Nothobranchius furzeri: one gene and its partner. The protein of the gene in region 1 binds, or shares a complex with, the protein of each later gene. Links are inferred from orthologs where the notes say so. Each region holds a gene or a part of one and is shown on either strand. Other genes may lie near its edges.

Region 1 (5,359 bases):
CGAGTTTCTCACTGTGGCTCTGTTACAGGTGATTCTGCCATGGTGTGAAGTTAAACCTTGAGGTTGAACAGAAAGGCCGTGAAAATCCTATTTATTAAAAAATCAAAGAGGAATAAATCTTTTCAATTTTTCCCACGCCTAGCTTAACTGAGCCATGATTCACACACAGTGGTGTTCTTGATGAAGAATACAACCATGTCCATCCTCGGTTTCTCAAATGATGACTGACAAGCACCAGTGTCCTTTAATAATTTCACTTAAGTACAGAGTGAAATTATGCACAGTCAGTCTTTAAGAGTCACATCTAACAAGGATCAATAGCTTTTAATAAAACGTGGGCTGAAGGATGATGACGCTGGAGTGACTGACAGAGTGAGTGAGTGACAGAAGGGAGAGAGAGAAGGATGGGAGCAACGATATGCAGGTTCAGAGTCTCAGAATCAGGGAATGGCAAACTGGACCACCAGTTCCTCTTTAGCATCCACTTTGATTTGAGAGATTGCACTGTAAGCATAAGCCGCTATCTTAGACACCTGCGAAGGAGAAAGAACAGTTACTGTTGGTGTGCTAAAGATTTCATCATGTTAAGAATGTGATCTGTGTGTGATTTACCTGCTGAACATCTGAATATGGCACCAGGTCACTTGCAAGAACTTGGTGGGGCTGGCTAGTTAGAGAGGGAAGAGTGTCTGCTTTCTTTGGGGGCAGGTTGGTGCTCAACACAGCCAACTTTGAACTATAAAAAAACCCAATCAAAAACAAACTTGCAATTAATTTGAGTTAAAATGACTCAAAAACAAATGTTTTCCATGAACTGAACGGCTGTTTATTCACAAGTACGTTTTTAGATGCAATATAATTAGATGCCCACTAGAGGTCACTAAAAAGGAGGAGGCAAGGCCGGCCTTATTGTAATTTTGAGGTCTGGTGTTGAAATTCCTTATTTCATGTCAGCAGTTTTCTTCTTCCCCAGCTGTATGGCCTCCAAAAAGACAGTTTTACGTTGTTCATTTCCTGAATGACTTTAATAAAACATTTTTAATTAAAGCCCAAATAAACTTCAGATTCAGTCTCATCAACAACTCTTTCAGGTCAACTAGTTCCAGAAGAATAAAAGTAGAACCTCCCATCAAAAATAAAGTATCAGTCTATAACAAACATCTACTCGTCTACATGCCTGTATTGTCTAGCTTTGTCCATGTATTCACGCTGCTCCATAACCACTGATTCCGTTGCAGAGACATCAATGATATTCCTGGAAGACAAGAAAAACAACGTTAGTTATATTATGATTATTCTCTATTCCAACACTCTTAACGGATGCTGTAGTACGATGCAGTCACACATCATCGGTTATAGTCCCAACATCCGTGTAGTGCTGCACTAGTAACCTGGAGGTGCATGACTAATACCTTCTAGTTCAATTACACAAATGTTATTTCACATGATCTAAAAGTCATTGATAAAGTTTCTTTGGATGGTAAATATGTTGTGTTTAGACTCATCAGTGGAAGCGTCTTACTGTGCGGCCTTCGTGAGGATGGATGTAAGGATAGCCTGCTCAGTTGCCTGTGCAGAGGGAACACTGGGAGTGATCCAGTCGGTCCCATTTGGAGGTTTGTTGACAGGGTTCGGATGGGGTATTAGTGACTCCGTTTCACTGTTCTTCTAGAGCAGAGTTGGAATAAAATAGAAATAATGTGATCAGGTAGTTTTAGCAAATTATACGTTTAATAAAACAAACAAGAGACTATGAGATTAAACGATTAGTTATTAGATATGTTTTCTGGGGAGAAGGAGTAAACGTTACACAAAATATATGTAGAAGAAGAATTAATCAAAGTTTGTTTAAAACAACTTTCATGCATTATACAAATGTCCGTCCAACTTCTTTACGATTACATGTTATAAACAATGACAGAAATGTATAAAGGTGGGGGACACTCATTTAATAAGTAGATTTACAGTGGTGTCTAATAGGAATGAATGCCTTGCAAGTTGTACTCTGGAGGAAAAAAAGCTCCAGTGCACCTGTTTCAGGAACTAGAATATTGTCACATTAGAGGAGAACTTCAAATGACAGGAGCTATACTCTTACGTCCTGATATTTGGAAACCTTGTCTCAGATAACACAAGCCTGATAGAGTTCTGCCATGTGGTAGAGTTGCTAATGCTAATAGTAATGGTTAGCTTCTACTAGCCGAGACACACTGTTGTTTCCTGGATGATAGACCAACAACAGCCTTCCCTGTGAGTCATGATGGGTGAGTCCATGAATGTTAAGTGACAGTGTGACGTAAATCTGTCAGGATTTTCTAATCCTAGCGTTTCATCGTCTGTCTTCTATCAGAAGCTAATGCTGGAGATAGGTGTAGGAGACTATGTTCATGTTCTGCCTGAATAAAAAACTCAAGAGTGGTCAGTTATAATCAGAAATGATCATTAAAAGGTTTTTCAGTGTTCCAGACCTTTAATTTTCCTTTGTTCAGAAACAGAGAGCTGATTATATACAATCTTAAATATATCAAAGTCATTCTGCCTTAAAATTTACATTTATCTGAAACTGTAAAGAAAAATGTATATTTTCAGACTAACATAGGTTAAATAGACTGGTTGTACCCAGGTTGTACCCTAACCCTAAGATGAAATGTATTAATCTACTTAAAGAGAAACTGATTATGAGGAAGGATGAAGACAAACTGGTTTATTTCCCTAAACTAAAATAAAACTGGGATATTTACAGCAGCCATATGACACCACGCACATCCACATGATGTTCAGTTATTTAGCTCCTTGACACACGGGTCACAATTGATTATTTAGCCAATAAGTAGAGAAGAAATCAGTCTATTCCTGATTAGCAGGACCTTTGGGAGGCTATAAATCCTCATGCCCCACTAAACAGGACAATAGCAGAAAATGATGTGCTCGCAGCTTTACTAAACACTTGATTTTTGCCCTCAGGACAGTTTATTCTGAACTGTTTCTGACCTGCGCTAACTCAAAGGGCTGCCTTTAGCCCAGGCCTTAGCAAGCTGACGCTTCCTGTTTAATGTTACGGACAACAAACGAGTTATGTGTGAACATGAAATGGCTCATTCACTAAACACTGTCAAGACACCTAGCCAGCAGAACTTATTTAGTGTTTGAATAAACGAATGAAGTTAACTGTTTTAGCTTTAGCCGCCAGCTAGCTAGCTACCTACCTCCCTGGAGTTGTCGTCCTCGCCACTGTAACAGCAACCCATGGCAACGTCCAAGGCTGAAACTAAACTACCCCGGCTTCCCTGCGCTCCTTCAGAAACGAGCAGAGCTCTTCTTCCCCTGCAAACATAAAGCTTTGTTTGTTTCTTACTGTTGTTACTACGGCCCCATACAAAAGTAGGAATCTACTGTCCACAGCAGCTTCTGAGTGAGGCTATCACATGACAGCAGCTGTGGTGCAACAACAACACAACAACTACTTCCGGTATTTGAGAAGCAGCGACGTCCCAGGACACGTGAGGGCAGAAATGTTGAACGTTCTTATCAGAAACCTCGGCAGAACTAAAAATGGTGACTGATAATTAAAAAAAGCATAAATGTTCCAGTCATAGGGGCTCCCAAAACAGGATTTGCTTTTTTCAATAACTTTATTGAACAAAGTTCATTTACAAAATAAGAGAACAAATGAAATACAAGCAGAATACAGCATTTTGCGTTTTTGCCACAGTTAAATGTTTCATGTTAGCAAAAAATAAATAAATACGGGGAGAAAATAACCCAAGTAAATAAAAGTCTGTTTTCAAATGATGGGAAAAAGTCTATATCCAAATCAGTCCAGGGGAAAAATTACTCCCTAAAATTATAGTTGTAAAACTTTGTGAGACATCAAGAGCATGCAAGCATTTCCAATAACTGCACATAAGTCTCTCACATTGGTGTGGAGAAGTTTAAGTCTACAATTCATTTTAAATGTTTTTGGCATGTTTAAATTAAAAGTTCAGACATTCTCCATGGGCCAGGTACCGTTTGTATGATGATCTTTTTCTGAAACTCACTGTTAGTTTCCCACAAGATGAGTCACAAATCTTACAAAACGTTTCACTTTTGTCTCAACGGTCCACAAAATGTTCATCCATCCTTTTGTTAAACCAGATTATCCATGCAGGCATCTATAGGCAGAGACTCAAACCCAGACCAAGGGCAAATGGGAATCTGATTTTTTTTTATAGGACATTGGTTTGTGTAAGTTGGACAGAGTTAGAAAATAAAGCAAGTCAGCACAGGTACTGTTCTACTGGGAACCTTTGCTCCTTCCTTTTATGTGGATGCAGTTTTAACATTTACAACCTTCATGGGAGTTGTTGCATCTCCTTTTTCTCTCATGCCAGCAGCTGTTTCAGATGGGAAATGTGCCACTAAAGTTCAAGAATAACTGTTTTTTAGCTTTAAAATGTTGTTTTAGAGAAGGGTATCCATGTTAAATAACTGATTATTGTGTAAGATAATGAGATTGCCTCTTTCCTTTTTGTCAATCTAAAAACATCAAGTGTTTGATCAAAACTTTTCCCAAGCTTGCTGTGCAGGATGAACAAGAGACAGAAACAGGATGAGGCATGTTGGTGAACAAGTGGCAGCTTCTCTGAGAAAGATGAAAGGGTCTCAGATGCCTTTGACTGAGTGCATAATAAAAACAGTGTAACAAACCAGTTCCAGTTTATTTCAGTCAATGTTTTCAGATGACAGCACAACTCATCAAAAATTTTGGTTTTCCTATTTTTCAAATAATGCATCAATTTAAATGCAAGCACATTTACAGCTTTGCATTTAACTTTGTGTTTCAACAGTTTAAATTTTAAATAACTTTAAGTTGTTTTTGTTGTCAGTGTTTGATTTACAATATTTTAAATTCTTTAAGGGCAAAAAACAGCACATTAATGAGTGATAGTTTCAAAAGCTGTCAAATTAATCTGCGTTTATTTAGAAACAACTATTTATACAATCGTTTTATACAGTAGTTTATACATTATGTTCAGGATACATGCATAAGAAACTATAAGCAAAGCAATAAACACACAAAAATCTGAGCTAACGACTTTAAAGAAGAAACTGAAAAATTGGCGCGTGGTGATTGGAATCGGCAGATCTTTAAACATATCTGGCTTGTGGAGGACTGGCCAAACTGAAACTTAAAAGTCTGCTTTGTTTGTTTTTCTTTTTTGTTTCAGGTTCATGAACGCATCACTGCAAGCATTAAAAAGATATGACATTTTCCCTTCTGAACTCCCCTACTCTACAGATTAAGATTCATAAACTAAAGTTTTCCTAAACTGTTGTTATTTGTGAGAAACATGAGCCCAAAGTTGGTTCTGGCAGG
Region 2 (4,918 bases), on another chromosome or scaffold:
TGGACCAACGTAACATGATAACAACGTAACGTGATTACGTAATTCCATAAGGTTCATGTTCAGCCAATCAACTACTTTGACGTCATCGGCAGTCGACGGACCCCGAGCCAATCTTGAACCTGAGCAGATCTTGTACCGATACCGGTTAGATTTGTGTCCGACTTGACGCCTACTTGCTCTGATATCATGCATACGTAGGCAACGATAACCTTGTTAGATCAAGGCGGCGCGCAGATTTTGGAGCAAGGCGCTGCAGTTGCTCTCCCTCGGCTGCAAAACCTAGTGGATGACGAGAAACGCCTGGCTCTCACCCGATCTAAGATCTGATTGGTTCATATTTTGATCCAAACATCTGGTGGTAGAACATGAAATGTTAGTAGGTCACATGTATTCTGTAAATCATGTTATGTTGATGATGACAACTATATAGGCCTTAAAGAGAAATGTGATTTGTGTTCTTTTTGTCACGTTTCCTATGAGCACACTAAACCTACAGCTGATAACCTTTACTTATTATCAGTGTTGGGAGTAACGCCGTTTAAGTATAACGGCGTTTTTAACGGCGTTCTTTTATAGGTAACGGAATAATCTAATTAATTACTTTTCCTGCCGTTGCAACGCCGTTACCGTTACTGGGGACGGAAGGTAGTGAGTTACCATGTGCTTGTCGAACGTTGAGCAGCAGCGTGAGGCTTTCTGACCGCCACACTTCAGCTGCAGCCTGGGAGAGAGAGGTGTCGGTAACGCACTTACAAACACGGTGATGACTGGCCGGGTGGGCGGAGACCCTCACTGTCTCAGTCGCTGCATTCTGTAGACACAACGGGAATAACTCCGTTTAAAATAACCACGTTAATAAAAATATTTCTTTCTGTAACGAGCAAACTAATTAATTACCGTCTTCTTTTATCAAAACATCGTTTCTGTTACTGATAAGAAAATGCGTGCGTGAAGCAGCGCGGTGTGTTGAAGCTGTTATCATCAGCTGATCAGGAGCTAAAGAGGTAGATGTTTTCATCCAAGTGCGTCACGGCCCGTGAAGAACGAGGAACACGTGATGAATATCTACGGCTGCAGGTGCGGGTCTGCAGCCGTGCCCTTCTTAGCGTGACAGCGGGACGTCCCGAAGGTCCGCTCAGACGTCCTGATCTTCTACCTTCCTAGATCATCCAGCTGTAACCTGTTTCTGATCATGTCTTTAGTCCCGCTGTAACACTGATGCATCAGTCTCAGACGTCATGGAGCTCAGGTGTTATCAGAACTGTGTGTGTTCACCACCCAGCTTCAGCTCTTCTGTGGTTGGGTCTGACCCAAGTTAGTAAATGTAAGTCCTCCATCAGATCTGTGCCTCTTCTAGTGTCATTTTAAAGGATATTTATTTATTTATTTAACCGTTACTAGATTAGCAGCAACAGAAATGCTGCTAAAAACACACAATTATGTGAAGCTGGAAAAATTAGAATACTGTGCAAAATTACATTTATTTCTGTAATTTAACTAGACTGAGAGACCATTTAAAGGCTCGGGAACCTTTACAGGTGTTTCTATTTGCAATTTTAAATTTTAGCTGATTGGGGTCTTGTTAAATATCACACAGTGACCTTTTAATAGTCTAGATTAGTGTAATGTTCCTATTAGTAGTTCCTCCTGTTAAGTGCATATTTGTTTAAATTATTCAGGTTTATATAAAACATTTGGACATACATTTTATTATGTTCAGTCATTAGTCATTTATATTTTACTATTGTAGTAATTCTTGCATTCTTTAATGAAAAAAGTAACTAAGTAGTTACTTTTGTTGGTAATTAGTTACTTTTATGATCTTGTAACTCAGTTAGTAACTGAGTTACTTTTTTGACAAAGTAATCAGTAACTATAACTAATTACTTTTTTAAAGTAACGTTCCCAACACTGCTTATTATTACAATCATGTCTTCATATACAATACATGATATCCACAAGCACGTGAGGATGTGTTTCAGCTGCTAACAGGCACCAGAATTAAAATTGAAAATTAAACAAGTAACTCTAACGCGATATCTTCAGCCATCCTACACATGCAGGAAATTGTGTCCGACCTAAACGCCGGCTTTCAGCCACTCCCCCTGCTGCTTCCGTCTGCTCTCGTCTGTTTTCCAGGCGAGGCCATCAACTCGAGCACGGCCAATGAAAATCCTTTTTAGTTACGACCGCGAGACAACATTTCCCAAAGTGCAATGCGAAGGAAGCCGGAAATGCGGAAAGACAAGTCAGCTGACTGCCTGGACGCATTGCTCTTCACGTACATCAACATACTATCAAAATACTTCGTGTTTTTTTCTTATTATTATTAAAACCGTTTTTATTCTTTGGTGAGGTCGACAGCGATGTTGCGACCCAAAGCTCTGACGCAGGTCCTCAGCCAAGCGAACACAAACGGAGTCCAGAGCACTCTGTAAGTACGAGTTAGCGACAAGCTAACGAGATGCTAAGATGCTATTTACTCTGACTCTTAGCTGCTTATCGTTTTTTGTACAAGGAAAGCTCGCCCAAAGAAAAATAAGCGTTGTTTTTTGGGAACTCTTAATGCTTAAAAGACATAATTTTAGTTATTTGAATGTAAAACTTGCGCATTTAATGATTTTTATCGTAGCTGTTTTTATAATGTCACAGATTAGAACGCTGTTGCAACAGATCCTAACAAATACCTCGGTTTATAATGATCAATTTCAATGAGATGATTTATAAAATATTTCTAATTTACACATTAGTGTCTAAAATAGTCAACCTTTCTAAATGTTAATTGTATGATGAGGCATTAGCTGCACCATCTAAACATACATCAAGATTATTTCTAACAACACAGATAACTTATGAGTAGGCTGTCTTAGTATGTGTCACGTGTTTATCCTCTCAGCTTGCTGAATAATGAAGGTTCCCTCCTGGCTTACTCTGGTTATGGAGATACCGATGCACGCGTAACAGCTGCCATCGCCAGCAACATCTGGGCAGCTTACGACAAGAATGGCCACCAAGCCTTCAACGAAGACAAGCTTACCTTCATCCTCATGGACTGTATGGTGAGAAACACAGCTCCGATTCAGGCTAAAACATTAGGCTGACCTCAAATTGTAACCTTCTTCTGTGTATTTGTTTTTTTTTAAGGAGGGAAGAGTGGCCATCACTCGTGTAGCCAACCTGCTGCTGTGCATATATGCCAAAGAGACTGTGGGATTCGGGATGCTGAAAGCCAAGGTGAGAGTTCGGGGCCTTTTCTTCTAATTGTTTCCCACGTTTTGCTTTTTATTGGTAAAGATTTTATGTGTTGGAGCTCTTCTGTCAATTGAGTTTAAAGCATTATTTTACAACAGTTGTTTGGATGGCAAAGAAAACTGCTTTTAACTTTGCTTTTAACCCTTTCAACACTTTCTATTGACATATTCTGTTCACATATATTAAACGTAAGTCTTAACTAAAACGTTTTATACTTAAAGGGCTAAAATGTAAGGGCAGATCATTAAATAAACCATTGAATGTGCAAATCATTTGAAACTAATCATTTAAACACAGATTAAACCACTTTTAGTATTTCTGAGGAATGTGCTGAGTGGTTCTAGACTTCTGTTCCACTGTTTAAAACAGGAAGTCCTTTAGAGTGACCCAGGGAGGCACGTGGATGAGGTTCATCAGGTTTGTCCAGCTAGAGCAGCTCATGGAGAACCCAGCTAAATCTGAACTGAGGCTGAAGTTTCTGATCAGTTTAAAGGTCGTACCAGATTTAATCTTTTCCAGTAATTGTGCTTTATTGTGTTTGTAGGCAGAGGCTCTGGTTCAGTATCTGGAGGAACCGTTGACTCAAGTGGCCGCATCGTAGTGAAGATCCGACCAACGCTTCTGTTGGTCTGAACTGAAGAAGAAATCAGCTGTTCAGGTCATCGGTGGACTGCTGTAACCCTCCTGTCCAACACTAAGTGTACAAAGGGCCATGTCTCTAAATGGAGGGGTGTGTGTGTGTGTGTGTGTGTGTGTGTGTGTGTGTGTGTGTGTGTGTGTGTGTGTGTGTGTGTGTGTGTGTGTGTGTGTGTGTGTGTGTGTACAGCTGAAATGTGATTCCATTTTCAGTTTTCACTTGGAATCGGTCCATTCGGTCATAGTTTTGTTGTTCAATGTGAAACTGAACATTTTTAGGAGTCACAGATGTACATCATGATAAAAACGTGTGTGGAGATTTTATATGAATCTTTCTGAAAAATGCAGTTGAGATTGTTATTTACTTGTGTTTTATGTCAAGGTTGTTTGATAAATGAGAGATACTGGCTCAGAGTCACCCATTCTTTTAAATCCTGCTTTGAGCTGGTGACGGTTGGGTGTGTTTCACCCTCGTATACACCTCTGAACGTTTTTAAACAATTTTAAATATGCAGTATCAGGTGAGATAAACTTAAATTTGCTCTGAAAATCTTGTGAAAGGGAGAATTTGCGGGTTTAGAGAAGCTTACCTTGCTTGTCTTTGAGTTTCATCACCAGATAATTTTATTTCTTTCAGTAATCACAGATTTCACAAAAATCTGATGAAACTTTTCACTCTTTCAGTATCCAATACTTTAAAAACAAAACCTTTTTTAATAAGTCAGAAGATCTGGGTAACTTAAAAGCTAAGAAAACTCACGAGTGCATGTGCATTCTGTTTAACTCCATTTAATCAACTAATGAGTTTTAATTGATACCAGTTAGTGATTTTCTCTTGAGGCATTAGCATCAAATATACTTTCTCACCTGCAGCCAGATAAAGAAAGTCTCAGCTTTCAAAATAAAAATTTTAATCACCCAAACCTGGAGTTAAATGCCTATACAGTTTTGCAATAATCAAGTTGATTTTAAGTACCCTGAATAAAATAACATTATTACAAAATCTTTAAAAACACTGTTTTAATGCCCC

What was found.
Region 2: lamtor1 (region 1) and lamtor2 share a complex: the UniProt entries of both Homo sapiens proteins name them as parts of the ragulator complex. The link is inferred for Nothobranchius furzeri from reciprocal best matches to the Homo sapiens genes LAMTOR1 and LAMTOR2.

What each region holds. Positions count from the first base shown.
Region 1 is NC_091753.1:34,139,327-34,144,685, reverse strand, and holds lamtor1 (ragulator complex protein LAMTOR1), read right to left. Parts: upstream 3,426-5,359; 5' UTR 3,249-3,425; coding exon 3,207-3,248; intron 1,669-3,206; coding exon 1,523-1,668; intron 1,256-1,522; coding exon 1,178-1,255; intron 737-1,177; coding exon 613-736; intron 534-612; coding exon 441-533; 3' UTR 76-440; downstream 1-75. UniProt on the Homo sapiens protein: Key component of the Ragulator complex, a multiprotein complex involved in amino acid sensing and activation of mTORC1, a signaling complex promoting cell growth in response to growth factors, energy levels, and amino acids.
Region 2 is NC_091745.1:61,225,296-61,230,213, reverse strand, and holds lamtor2 (ragulator complex protein LAMTOR2), read left to right. Parts: upstream 1-2,149; 5' UTR 2,150-2,366; coding exon 2,367-2,434; intron 2,435-2,896; coding exon 2,897-3,059; intron 3,060-3,144; coding exon 3,145-3,234; intron 3,235-3,796; coding exon 3,797-3,853; 3' UTR 3,854-4,295; downstream 4,296-4,918. UniProt on the Homo sapiens protein: As part of the Ragulator complex it is involved in amino acid sensing and activation of mTORC1, a signaling complex promoting cell growth in response to growth factors, energy levels, and amino acids.